2 linked regions of the Styela clava genome follow. The protein of the gene in region 1 purifies or fractionates together with the protein of each later gene. This does not show direct contact. Links are inferred from orthologs where the notes say so. Each region holds a gene or a part of one and is shown on either strand. Other genes may lie near its edges.

Region 1 (7,101 bases):
TGTATCTTGCTTTGAACTAAATTGTACAAATAAAGATCCTATGAAGACATTAATCTCGCCTGGTGAGTACTAGGGTCTTGCAGTTTCAGTAAGTTGATTATTGCAGATGCGTAGATCTGGGTGGTGCAAGGAGTCATAAATACTTACAGTTTGAATTCTGTCGACTCCAACCCTCTCTGCATCGTATTGAAGTAATTTCACATCAACGGGTGTGAACATCATTCCTTGGGTTTTGCCTGGGACTCCAATGGGTGAGCTTGTGTAAAAAGAAAAGATATATATTATTGTATTCCAGGATCACTTAAATTGGCACCTAATTGATATAAAATTGTGTTCAACCTTGATCATACTTTTAGATTTAAACCAGGGTGGTCCAAGGTTGTCAACTCCGAGGGCCACAAAATTATTTTAGCATTATTCGCGGGCCACAAATAGTGCCAAGAATAGGTAAACAGTGCAATACAAAACAAGTACTTGTCAGTATTTGTCTTTTGTCAAGCTAAAATATGCAAAAACCACCAAAAAAAACCTGCATAAGTCTTTTTATATCTACATTTAGTGTAAGATTTCGACGGAAAATGGTACTCCTGTAGTATGTGAATCAAGATGGCGGACACAGGAACGTAGTTTGTGTAACAGGTTGGAGTCAGACCATAATTTCACGTACAAATAGCTAGTCCCAGAACTAGTAATATAACTAAAATATAGAAAATTGGAATAAAATTATGGCCTAACCCTAACCTGGTACACATACCACGTTCCGTTGTCCGCTATTATTGTGACGCATACTACAGGTGTACTGGAAAAAAGTGCCATAACACTAGTCACATCAGTGATGTAACAATATGTTAAAAGATTTTTCTGATTAACTTTATGGCAAAACAACACCAAATGCGATTTTTTGATTACCCTCTGATTCCGGCGCGGGCCACAGATAATGCAGCGGCCGGCCACATGTGGCCCGCGGGCCTGAGTTTGGACAACCCTGATTTAAACAGCTTAAAGTCTCGTCAATCAGCTTTTACTAACCTATAATGAATAAATCTACATAGTTTCAGACTTACAGTAGCTCAAGGCAACTTCACTCAGAACCAAATCTTTTTTACCTCTGAGTGGGAGTGCATTATTACCTTGCCTTGAAAAAATTCTCATGAAATTTTTTTTATTATTCATTACTCCCCACCTTATGTATGCTTTGAATCCAAGTTCTCCGTTAGTCAGTGTTGTATCAACAGTGAGATGAACTGGCATTTTATTTTTACTTTCTTTCGTATAATACTCGTGGATAAGTACAGAGTGTTCGGTAATGTCATGCCCAGTCGCGTACCTGGTGAAGAATAAATAGAAGTGTTTATTGATAAAAAATGTTATTATTATTGGTATCATGCACCGCAGTGTTCACTATTAGCGCACTTTTTTTGCGATATGTGAGTGACACCTTCGCAGTTATTTTTAAAGACTGCGAAATCGTCATTTTTAATGCGTCTGTCGTCTTACCAGATGCCCCGTTGAAAAAAAAATTTAATTTTTATGTTATATAAATATTCTCCTGAGGACATCCTTGAAATCTGAGAAGTGTGCTTGGGAACAAACCAAATGTGGAAAACTGTTCTTACCATCCAACGATCACTTCATTTGTATTGACCTTCCTATGAAGGTCGTACATATTCTTGGCGTACTCCATGTCAAATGCGACTTCATCGTCTGATTCTGTGTGAGGAACACAGAAAGCATTCGTGACTGTAACTGCGTTTGCATCAACAGTACCTGGAAGAAGTTAGGATAAGATTTGATGAGCTCATGTCATGACATATTTTTCTCCAACAAGATTTAACCTAGACATAGGGCAAGGGTAGCGAACCTTTTTCAATGAATAGGTCAAAAATTATATTTTTATCGCGGAACAGAAGAGAGTGGGTCACAGATATTTAAGCAATGTTTGTATCTATAAGAAACTCCTGAACCTAAGCTTCTGTTTGTGTTGGTGAAGTTTTGGGCTTTACTTATGCAGCACTTCTTCTATCAGGGACTTTTTATGACACCCTATTTTATGAAATTAGAGTACGAATTACCAAAAACAAGATACCGTACAAGATTAGGAGTTTGGAAAATTACCATACCGACCCGAAAATTAACAATTTGAATATGAGCGATCGCAGCCCTGACTGCCAACTGACGGTACATTATAATAGTTTAGTTATTGTTGGAATAATTGAAAGCCATTTTCATCAACTTTTATCACTGATATGTTAGCATTTTTTTTATTTTATTCGTTCCTCGGCGGGTCAAGAATAAAACGCGGTGGGTCACTTTGTCACCCGCGGGTAAGTGGTTCGCCATCCCTGACATAGAGAAATCAGCAATGTGATAGGAAATGAGAGCAACATAAAATGCTACTGTCAGTAAAGCCATTTCCTCTACCATCACTTTTATATTTTGATTCTGTAAGTTTTAATGTTTTCCTTTTTCCAACCTTTATTCTGTTCGTTTTTGTTTTGTTTTTATCAATTATTTCTTCGTTTTGTATGCTGATTATGAAGTTAAAATATTCACGATACGAGTGAAAAAAGAAATATGAATACTTTAATATTATAATCGAATTGACGAAGAAGCCATTTGAAGTATTCATAAAATTAATTGAAGCAATTAAAATAAAAATATTTAAAATTGAAAAGTTAAAAGGAGCTCTCTAGATCTCTGCTTGTCCAGTGACTTGTTTATAGGTTGATTTCCTTTTGAAATACTCATGATTGCACAAGAACAAAATCAAACTTGCAGAAAAAAAGCACAAATGAATATTACTAATGAATTAATATTGTCACATAACTAAATTACAATTAAAAAGCACTAATTTTACAATTCTTACCTAAAAGTGTTCCTACTACTCTTTTTGCATCTTCTTTCCTCCTTTCGAAACTGTCAATAATGGTGAATAAAACCACAGGGTGAACGCAGACCCGCCGATTTTCCGACATTTTTATAATATTATAATGTACTAAGAGTTATCTGATGGAAAATATGTAAATTAGCACAATATTAAAATCTTTTAAAATCATAAATAGATAAGATTTGTAAGATTTAACAGGTATTTTTCGAATACTCGAGGCGTGAACTCAAAAACCTGGGATTCGGCTTGTAACTGTATGCAAGTGAATTACTCAGGAAACTATCGGTTGTGGTTCCGTGTTCAACTATACAAAAATCATTTATCTCCAGCTATTGAAAAAATTATATAAAGATAAAACAAACATATAAATATATTTATTATAATTTTATCTATATTTTTAAATATTTAATTCATAACGTACCCTCAAAATTACATCACGAAACATGACGTATATAGCAAAATGATACGACTGAGTGACTCTTACCATTGCACGTGTGTTGTTCACGCTGGTCTCTTGGCTGCATTTGCGCTGTTAAAGTTTCGTTAGCTCTTGGTTTGCATTCGCGTTGTGACTTACTGAACTTTATCAAGGATTTTGTGCTATCTTCTAAATGGGGAGACCTGGTGAGTTATTTGATGTGTTTAATATAAATATAGTATTTTGTATATTAATTATGCTGGCTCAACACTTGTGTGATATTTTCATAAATTGAAGGTAAACCTTACTTAAGGTTTTGTTAGCGTTCCTGATTCTGCGATCAGTTTTATTTATTTGTTTTTATCAATCATTTTTCGCCAGTTATGCTGATTATTCTGTCGATATAAACTTATACCTATGTGGTACGGTAATATAACAGCGCAACCTATAATAATTAAAATTAGCAATATACGGCGCGTTTTATCCAAGATATGGCCGTTCAAAAATTTTGTCCGAAGTTAGGAACTGTCCGAAGTTGGGCGCTTTTACGGTACAGCAGTGATGTGTTGTTTGTTTAAGTAAGCATAATAGAGTAACATCTGAACATTATGTGTCACAAGAATATTTGATAGGTTTCCACTTGTTATTTATGCTCATATGTTTAAGTCGTCTTATTGGCTTTTCGCTCTCTAGGTAAATATGTAAATCCTATCCTTATCAAAAGTACGTTGAATCTTTCAATTTTATTTTGTGCTTCTAAGTTTCTCGGGTTCATCTCATATTTATTGTTTAAAACTTTCTTTTATTCATTTTTTTCAGGTTTTTCACCAAGAGGTGGCGGCAGAGGGGGTTTTAGAGGAGGAGGAAGAGGGGGCGGCAGAGGCGGATTCGGTGGCAGAGGTGGAGGTGGGCGTGGTGGATTTGGCGGAGGTGGGCGTGGCGGATTTGGTGGCCGAGGCGGGGGTAGAGGAGGACCCCGTGGTAAGTTGGACTTACTCTTTATCAATGTTATTTTTACAGGATTTTGGGGTGTAGTTAAGTGAACGCCGCAACTGCTCAAATAACTCCAAACAAAAATGTGATGTGAAATTTTAATGTAATTAACATTAAAGTCTGTGTGACGCATAAAAGATTTGTTTGGCGTTATTAAGCACTCAAAGCATTCATTTTCACATCACATTTTTGTCCAAAGCAAAGACACTTATAGTCACTTGAATATGAAGGATACTCCTCTTTGATCAGAGTTACGAACGACAACAGAAGAATTTTTAAGAGGGAGTTCTGAAATTTCTAATTGCCAAGTTAGACGAGGCGCAGTTCTTACCACTTCATGGCAGCTCCTGCCACGAACGTACCACGCCGTCTCCTGCCATGGTTTTATGGCGCTATTACGGGTATATTTACAAATTCATGTACCATATTTTAGTTTATCATGCGAAATTATATCTACTTAAACCCTAACCCTAACCCCAAATCCATCCAAACTGTATCCATAAGAAAAACATTCCAACTCACCAAATATTTATCACCATCAGCAGATTAGGGGCAGCCCTGCTATTACAGCCGACCTGCCGTGGTTACGGCATTAAAATTGGTGGTATTCGATTTGCTGCCGTAACCACGGCAGCTCGCTATTGGTTTGTGGCAGCTAAAAAGTCAGTCGCCGTGGGTTTGGTCTTAGTGGCCGTGGTTTGGAAATCCCGCCATGGTTTTGCGGCAGCTGTAGACGCCACAAAATACTTGAAACTGCACTTGAGTTAGACAGCTGGCGGGTCCGGCTGGAAGCAGTAATGTGGGTTTTCAAGAGACTTAAATGTCTAAAAAAACGTTTTGAGGATAGGAAAAATTTTCATGTATAACACAGAAAAATCCTTTTTTCACAAAAGTGTGGGGTTCCGACCCCTAAACCCACCTGGGTACACTCCTGCCAAGAACTACGCCCACTCAATCAGAAGTAAAGCAGACTAATTTTTGAGCAAAGTTGCAACCGACCTCTGAAATGCCAAGAGCCACTGGAACTTCTAACGTGAAAGTGCTTGTACTGCTGTTCTCTAGCAAATTTTACTGAAGTCATTATTGCAGCATTTGCTTGATTTAATTTTTCTGTTTGTGCCATGTGATGGCATTTTCTGTGATATTACATTGAAGTTGACTTTATTCATGGCAGGTCGAGGTGGAGGAGGGTTCAGAGGTGGAAGGTCAACGGTTGTTGAACCCCATAAGCATCCAGGAATATTCGTAGCTAGAGGAAAAGATGACGCTTTGTTGACGAAAAATCTTGTACCCGGGAACACCGTCTATGGAGAAAAGAAAGTGGAAGTTGAGGTTCGTGAAATTGAATGTTTTTTTTATGAATATATTCGATTAAATATGATTTATCTTGGGGAACAGTGTTCCCTGTAAGGAAGTTAGGAGTACTATGGTGTTTCGCAGTTAAAAAAAAAATTGCGAAGTTGCTTTGGTCGATTTTAAAGAGGTGATTTTATCATGGGAAAGCCAATAGGTTGATTTAATAATGAGAAAAACTATATCTTTTCAGCCCAAGTCAGGTATGAAAATAGCTCACTGGTTAGTCACTCAAAATACACGACCATGGTGTGTTCTGGATGTTATTACAAGCAGTATCCAATGTAATTCAATGAAATGTAAATTCTCGGTTTTTCTCATTAAAACAAGACCCACAAAAATATCTATAAAATAACTTACGAACTACCATACTTCCGAAAACAAGTAACTGGCTAACTAATTCCATACTCAACATAAACTGGTAACCGGACAAAAGGCCCTGGTTTGGCATATGGTTAAACCATCTTATCGGCTTTTCTCTTTCCCAGGATAAATATGTAAATCCAATTAACTGGAGTGTGTAAACATGTTGATACGTTTGGATGAAGGACCATGATAGTTAAGAGGAAACTTTTTTTAACACATGTTTTATACAGAGCGTCTATACTCTATAACAGGGGTCGGGAACCCATGGCTCGCGAGCCATATATGGCTCTTTTGGTGACGGCATATGGCTCCCAGAAAAATCTAATGTTCCAAGACTAAGCTTACTATTGTTACGAGATTTCAAACTCTTTTATAGCCAAATTTGGCAGGAAATTCCCAGTACGCTTGAGAACGCGCGTCCAGCACATGTCTATGTTGTGTAAGATAATTACCAGACAGGCATTGTGACAAACAAGGGGAATCTGGAACATATATTGTGACTTCACAAAGCGATATAGTTTTAAAAACACTACGGAGATGCCTAAACGAAAAAGGGTGATGAGTATCTTAGATTTCAACTTGTGCTGCATGTGAGCAACCGTTCAAGGCCCGCAGCGACTACATGCAGCATCAGAAATCACATTAAATGTATATTGACATTGTATGTGTTGACTTTTGAGTAAACATTTCAGGCCTGATTAAGTGAAGAAATGTTATATGGCTCGCATGGAAATGCAATTGAAAATATGTATATTTTATGGCTCTCTTGACCAAAAAGGTTCCCGACCCCTGCTCTATAAAGTCCCTTTACAATTTTAATTTTGTTAGGAAATCAGTTCTCAATTCAATTTAACACACCTGTCAGTGCCAAAACAATATATGGCATCGACAAATTCCCTTTGCAGTTTTAAAAAAGGCTATATTGACACTCTGTATATCACTTTCTTGTTTTTTATGGAAGAACGATATTCACTCAACTTCAACTATATAATTACAGAATGATGGCATAAAGATTGAATACAGAGCGTGGAATCCATATCGATCAAAACTTGCTGCAGCAGTTCTAGGAGGAATCGGCCACATT
Region 2 (7,336 bases), on another chromosome or scaffold:
AAAAGTCAATCGGAAAATTCACATAATTCCAAGTTTTTGTTGGAATTCATTAAACTTTGCTTACAATTTGTATGACTTTATCTTTAATTTAAAATAATAAAATCAACCCCCTCTTGACCGGAAACACATGCTGCTGGGTTTTGAAAATCACCAAAATCGCCATATATGAGTTACGTCAATTTTACGTCAGATTTTCAAAAGTCAATCGGAAAATTCACATAATTCAAAGTTTTTGTTGAAATTCATTAAACTTTGCTTACAATCTGTATGCCTATATCTTTAAGTTAAAATAATAAAATCAACCCCCTCTTGACCGGAACCACATGCTGCTGGGTTTTGAAAATCGCCATATATAAGTTATGTAAATTTTGCGTCAGATTATCAAAAGTCAATCGAAAAATTCACATAATTCCAAGTTTTTGTTGAAATTCATTAAACTTTGCTTACAATTTGTATGACTTTATCTTTAATTTAAAATAATAAAATCAACCCCCTCTTGACCGGAAACACATGCTGCTGGGTTTTGAAAATCACTAAAATCGCCATATATGAGTTATGTAAATTTTGCGTCAGATTATCAAAAGTCAATCGGAAAATTCACATAATTCCAAGTTTTTGTTGAAATTCATTAAACTTTGCTTACAATTTGTTTGACTATATCTTTAATTCAAAATAAGAAAATCAACCCCCTCTTGACCGGAAACACATGCTGCTGGGCTTTGAAAATCACTAAAATCGCCATATATGAGTTATGTCAATTTTGCGGCAGATTATCAAAAGTCAATCGGAAAATTCACATAATTCCAAGTTTTTGTTGGAATTCATTAAACTTTGCTTACAATTTGTATGACTTTATCTTTAATTTAAAATAATAAAATCAATCCCCTCTTGACCTGAAACACATGCTGCTGGGCTTTGAAAATCACCAAAATCGCCATATATGAGTTACGTCAATTTTGCGTCAGATTATCGAAATTCAATCGAAAAATTCAAAAATTTATAAGTTTTTGTTGAAATTCATTAAACTTTGCTTATAATCTATATGACTATATCTTTAATTTAAAATAATAAAATCAACCCCCTCTTGACCGGAACCACATGCTGCTGGGCTTTGAAAAACACCAAAATCGCCATAAATATTGACATAATTTTGAGTTTCTGATAGAAATTCATTTGCTTCTGCTTACAATTTTTATGATTATATTTTTCATTCGAAATTTTAAAACCGTCCCTCCTCCGTTTTCTTTGCTTTCTTCAATCCGGCATTTCCTTTTTTATGCTTGTTTACCATATTTTAACAAGACAAATCATTGGGAACATTAAATTTTACGCGTGGGTATTTTCTGCGATTCTGTCAGTCTTAATTTCGTTTTTTGCTGCTAGCTTCCCAGAGGTTTAATGTTCCCTATTTGAAGAAAGACGCCAGTGGATAATATGATACTGTACTTTAAACATTCTAATATTATATTGCCAGGAAAACAGCTTAGTGTTAGCTTGTGAAGAGGGTAGGCTGATAGTATGAGATAACTGAATAACAATTCTGGTGACTCCGTTGTAGGCCTACAGTGAAAAAAAATCACAATTGTTGGTCGCCTTTCATGAACATTGAATACCCAATTGTAATGAAATAATCTCGGGAGAAATAAAATAAACTATATATGAATAAACAAATAATCATTTGTACCACAAAACTGCGCGAAGCGTTTTGATATTTGAGCGTTATTATGTTCAAAGCGAACATACTCTCGAATGTTACTTTACCAAAGTGTACCATTATGTGCGTTTAGATTCTGTTGTGAATCACAACAAGCATTGTGATCTGTTAAACGTGAGGCCCAACGTCATTGAATATTTCCCGATATAGTATTTTGAATATTTCGACAAGAACTTCGTTGGTCATTTTACGTGTATGTAAAGTAAACAGTGCCGAAGCGAATCACACCTGTTGATCTGTGTTTTGTTATACTGAATGTTGATGCGGAATTAGCGAACAAGTGACTCCTGGTTTGTCATATGACGTCTTGATAATGCAAATGCAGTAGACCCGTCAATAAGTGTTTTTGTGCCTAAAATACCCCCGATTTTGTTCTCCAGATTAGCAGCGTTATTCAAACAAAAGAGCTACGCACAAATATATGGACACGTTAGACCAGAGCGAATCAGTCTTTACCGGTACCTTTGACGCTACCGGTACCCTCAAAAAAGTTCTGAATTTCCAGTAGCAAGAATTTTGCAGAATCAAAACGTACAGCCAGTCATGACACTGACTAAAATCCGTGTTCCCATGGATAAAAAATAATACAGCAAAATTTTAGACGAAATATCAAATTTCATAGAATTCACGCAAAATTTTGAAATAAATAAAAGTAATAGCCTTCTAGCGAAGAAATTATTCTTTAACCACTGAAAATTTCAAAGCAATTGGTCCAGTATTCGAAGAGAAAAGCGATTTTTTAAAAACGTGTCAAAGAACAACAACAACATAATATTGAAACGATCGTTATGGCCACTAAACGTGTCCAATAAGAGATATCAGCCAGGTGAATGATTACCGTTATTATTGAATATAAAATTTATTACATTATTAGGATATATTCACGATTTAACAAAAAATTGCAAAAGCACTTTCACACAGGTATGTCGTAAAGGCTTCGATGCAAACATTCACTGATTTACTTCTACTACTACTTGGCTACATCTCACGGCAATGTACCAGACAGAAGTGCATTTCTCGAGAAAAAACCGATACCAGAATACCGGGTCACGTGACATTACATGCTGTTTTATTTCTATTCACTTCTATGCTTTGCCTGTTATTGCAGTATTACACAGTTTAATTACAATCGGTTGAGTTAACTGGCCTTTAAGTTTAAGGTTTTGGAAACTATTAATGTTAGTTGTTTGAAACTGGTGAGGATTGAAGAGAGAATGAAGTAAGACGATATTTTATCCCAACAATTACTGAATTAATTCATGTAATGCAGTAATGATACGGTACCGGTACCCGTGCCGCTACGGTACGGTACCGGTAATTACTGAATTAATTCTGTAATTCGGTAGATTACCTGTGCTGTAATTCAGGCAGTCGCGCAACAAACATTTACAGTACCTGTACGTCATTGAACTTGGGTCATGTAATATGGTACATTACCGTAATACAGTACTGCAGTAAGGCCAGAAGGCGGTGTAGCTCATCGTGCTAAGCGTTAGGAATACGGTACGCTCGCTACGCACCTCTAATTACTCTGCGTGTGTTCGCAGGTTTGAATCCCATGCTTCATGGTTATGTGCGAGAGGATTGCAGGACTCCTTGCCACCGTTGGGTGGTTCACCTAACCGCTAGTCGGTTACGGCTTCCTCGACCATCAAGTCCATGCTTCGGAAAAACAAATACCTAACTAATCCCATACCGGTACTCGACATGGAATGGTAACCGGACGAGAGGACGTGGTTCGCTTCGCTATATGGTTAAGCCGTCAAATCGGCTTTCCTCTCCTCCAGGATAAATATGTAAATCTTATCCTTATCCTTAATATGCATGGATACTGTATCATTTTTAGGTAAGAAAATCCCTTTGATCTGTAGATATTTTTTAATAAGTTTGTTCAAAGCAAGGTCTGTAGTCTACAGTAGGACTGTAGGATGAGAACTGCTTTGAGCTTCTAAAAGTAGTTTTCCTAGAAAAACTTGTACTCAGTACCGGTACGGTACTAGACTATTGCGAATTACTTAAATTAGTTCGGCACAGTTCTCTGAATATTGGATTACAAGAATAGCCTCCATACTACAGTACACCACACTATACAGATCGAGCGACATTGTCTCGTTTCATAGAGACCCATTTTACTGATCATTAGACACCCCTTCGGCTTCTCTGGGGGACGTCTGCACATGGTTCGATAGTTGTCCCCCAATATCAGTTAAAATATAGTAAATTGAATTTGAGCAAAAAACCACAAGGAAGGGCAATCTAAAAATGTCATCATTGAATTCCTCGGGGAAAAAATATTCCCATTTACCGATGGAAAAAATATCTACCGTGGCATTCGAGAGTTTTGAGCAAAAAACGGCAATTTTGGTCATGTGACGGCTGGGATTAATTTAGATCATTATCGAGACAAGCATGACGCATCTGCTGCGTGCCAGACACCTTTGGTTTGTGAGACACATGGAGTGTTTGTTTTATTGAACCAAATGAGGGACATTCTTAGAATTTGGAAAGATATCAATTATAAGATTTAGTGTGAACCCCTCCTTTACGAGACAGTCCGGGTCTCCAACTGGCACTGCACAATAAACTAAAATGAAGCGCAATCTACAAAACGCACCATTGATTACCAACTGATATTTTTTAGGATAGCATCAAATAATATAACTTTGAAAACTAGTTTACTATGTCCGAAAAGAAAGCTGATATTAAAAGCTCTGGTGAACCGGCAAAACCAGAAGCAACCAAAGAGCAAGAGAAAGGTGATTCAAAAGAAGTTACTGTAGAAGATGAAACTGCTATCAAACACCCACTGCAAAGCAGGTATGTTGTGCTGCTTATACAATTCAGGAAATCAAATGATATATTTTGTCCTAATTTTTATGCACAATTTGTATGCGTACTTATTGAATATAGACTACAATGACTTTTTTGTGCTTTCATGGCATGATTAGAAAATATTCGAAAGTCTGAAGAATTTTAAAATTTGTTTGGAATAGTGAATTACATTTTTAGTCACCATTATGTTAAGTGTACGAAATTTCCAATACAATGATCTTTGATCAAGTATACATTTGTAATGATTCTGTTTTTTTAGATGGGCACTCTGGTTTTTCAAAAATGATAGAAGCAAAAAATGGGAAGATAATTTAAGATTAGTAACTAAATTTGACACTGTAGAAGATTTTTGGGCGTAAGTATTGTTTTATTACATTTTCTAGCCAAGACTTTTTCTGTGATAAGAATTCCTACTCAGCGTTACTTTATTGATATTTGGTGAATATAGAATTTTATGGATACAAAAACAAAGCTTTATAATGAAATATTTGAATCAAGAGACTTCAAAAATAAATTTGAGTATGTGAATAATCTTTACTTGGTATATTTTCATTAAGTGTTTATCCTTTATCCGGTAAGATTATTTATTCAAAATAGTTTTTTTCTGTCTCAAATATCAATTGGCAATGTCTCTCTTTGATATTTCCTTCTTTATTTCATTGATGCACTAACTTGTGTAGTTTTTCTCATTTAAAGACATATTCATGAGGATCAAAACCTCATGTAAAGACATACTAATAAACATAAAAGAATCTTAATTCGCTGCTGTACTACATGCAAGCTGATGTAAAAGTACACAAAGTGTGTATAGCTCTAGTAATTCTTGCCTTCTTCTGTAGGCTTATAGCTGGAGCAAGAATTGTCATTCTGTATTAAATAATTTATGGGACAACTCAGTATTGGCGATTCCCCCATGAAAATACAAAACAAAATGGTTATAATATTTGTTATCAGTTGTTTTATACCACAAATGTTTTCTATTTTCAGAATCTATAATCATATTCAACTTTCTAGTAAGCTGCAAAGTGGCTGCGACTATTGTCTATTCAAGGTATGGTTATTGTCATACTACTGATATCATTTTGATATCTATATATCTGCTCAGTAATCCTGCTGTGACTCTTTTGTAACGTTGAGAACATTTTTAAACATTGAACCTATTACAAGGCTCTTGGGGGTTGTGGTTTAACTGAATGCTTACTGAAAATGTTCATTTATCATTGCTCATAGTCTAATTCTAAATGTGTGGGCGACTTTAGTTATGTGTTGGTTGGTTTTGGTTAATGCTTGACTAACTTCCCTTGTTAGTTGTTAATGTTAAAGTTTGAAGTTATCTCAACCTTTGTTTTATGTTGTTATTACTTGCAGTACTTTTAGTTCAACTGCGGGTTCCTGCAGGAATGCTATGTTTTTTTTCGGTACTCCCATAGTGTGTGTACCAGGTTTAGGCCATAATTTTATTCCAATTTTCCTTATTTTAGCTCTATCTATTATGAGTTCGGGGAATGTGTGTGTTAGCCAAGTGATTATACCCCCCCAGTCCATAGCTGTCAGTCCCTTTAACAACTTGATGTAAAATAGGTGAACAAAATTAGATACCTCCATATTGGTTCACACACTTTTGGGGCGCCTTTTTTTTTTCAATGTTTCCAGCTTTCAAATTGTGCAGCATATTACTATTATTATAATGTACAGCATTATAGCGTTTTTGACATTGGATCTACCTATTGGTATCTCAGGTTGAATATCTCTGGCCCTCCAGCATATCAGGGCGTAAGAGAGTGTGTAATGCCCTGTCCAGTGTTTCGAAAGCATAGTGCTAATTTGTCTAACACAGATGTGAAGTGCAAAAAGTCAGAATATAAATCAAATAAGTAATTCTTTCTCTTGATAGCCTGAATTTCTAAAATGAATTTTTATCACAATAATTTCATGAAGTTGTTTGTAATTTTTCCTAATCTCTACAATATGTGCACTGTATGCAGGATGGGGTGCAGCCTATGTGGGAAGATGAAGCAAATAAAAATGGTGGACGATGGTTGTTTCAGTTGAACAAAACACAGAGATATCAAGAATTAGATAGAATGTGGCTTGAAACTGTAAGTTTGGCTTGTAAATATAGTATAATAAGTTGTAAATCCTATTGTCATTTACGATTTTTTATCTGGGGTTTTTGTATGGGTGGTTAGAACTGGAGCTGGGACTATCAGAAATTTCAGTGTACAGCTCCTAACCATATACCGTAATTATTCTCCAGATTTCTAATTCCCAATATAAATTAATATAAAATCTATCCTATATAAATTTTTGATATTTTATGTTACAAACCTTGCTTGGACTGGTAACCGGATGAAAAGCTGTGGTTCACTATATGATATGCTGTATTGTCATCTTTTCTCTATATTTTTATAGACATGATAATCCTCAACTATCCTACCGCAAAATTTAACATATTGCTTTTGCTTTTGAAAGACATTTTGTGGTCCTGGTTTTTTAAGCACATTTCATTAATAATAGAAAGTTTTTGATATACTCATAATAATGATGTGATAAATTATCTTTTTCTCAAGATCCTCTGTATGATTGGAGAATCTTTTGAAGCAGAATCAGATTTTGTTAATGGTGCAGTAGTTCAAGTCAGAAACAAGGGAGACAAGATTGCTGTATGGACATCAGATTGCCATAGACGTGATGTGATTCTTAAAATAGGGTATGTGGCTTTAGTTTTCTCAAAGTTTTGAAGTGTTTTCTGTTGTTCGTTTTTGATATTGTTGTGTGAAAACAGAAATA

What was found.
Region 2: the proteins of eukaryotic translation initiation factor 3 subunit F-like (region 1) and eukaryotic translation initiation factor 4E-like purify together in Homo sapiens (affinity purification with mass spectrometry; 3 studies listed by BioGRID and IntAct, with this or other methods). This does not show direct contact. The link is inferred for Styela clava from reciprocal best matches to the Homo sapiens genes EIF3F and EIF4E.

What each region holds. Positions count from the first base shown.
Region 1 is NC_135253.1:21,922,486-21,929,586, forward strand, and holds the start of eukaryotic translation initiation factor 3 subunit F-like, read right to left. Parts: upstream 3,026-7,101; 5' UTR 2,976-3,025; coding exon 2,867-2,975; intron 1,768-2,866; coding exon 1,617-1,767; intron 1,328-1,616; coding exon 1,184-1,327; intron 257-1,183; coding exon 148-256; intron 1-147. Other genes in the region: rRNA 2'-O-methyltransferase fibrillarin-like, read left to right, coding at 3,499-3,511, 4,125-4,286, 5,473-5,630, 7,015-7,101. UniProt on the Homo sapiens protein: Component of the eukaryotic translation initiation factor 3 (eIF-3) complex, which is required for several steps in the initiation of protein synthesis.
Region 2 is NC_135260.1:20,083,954-20,091,289, reverse strand, and holds the start of eukaryotic translation initiation factor 4E-like, read left to right. Parts: upstream 1-4,335; 5' UTR 4,336-4,394; coding exon 4,395-4,531; intron 4,532-4,805; coding exon 4,806-4,901; intron 4,902-5,533; coding exon 5,534-5,597; intron 5,598-6,531; coding exon 6,532-6,645; intron 6,646-7,116; coding exon 7,117-7,256; intron 7,257-7,336. UniProt on the Homo sapiens protein: Acts in the cytoplasm to initiate and regulate protein synthesis and is required in the nucleus for export of a subset of mRNAs from the nucleus to the cytoplasm which promotes processes such as RNA capping, processing and splicing.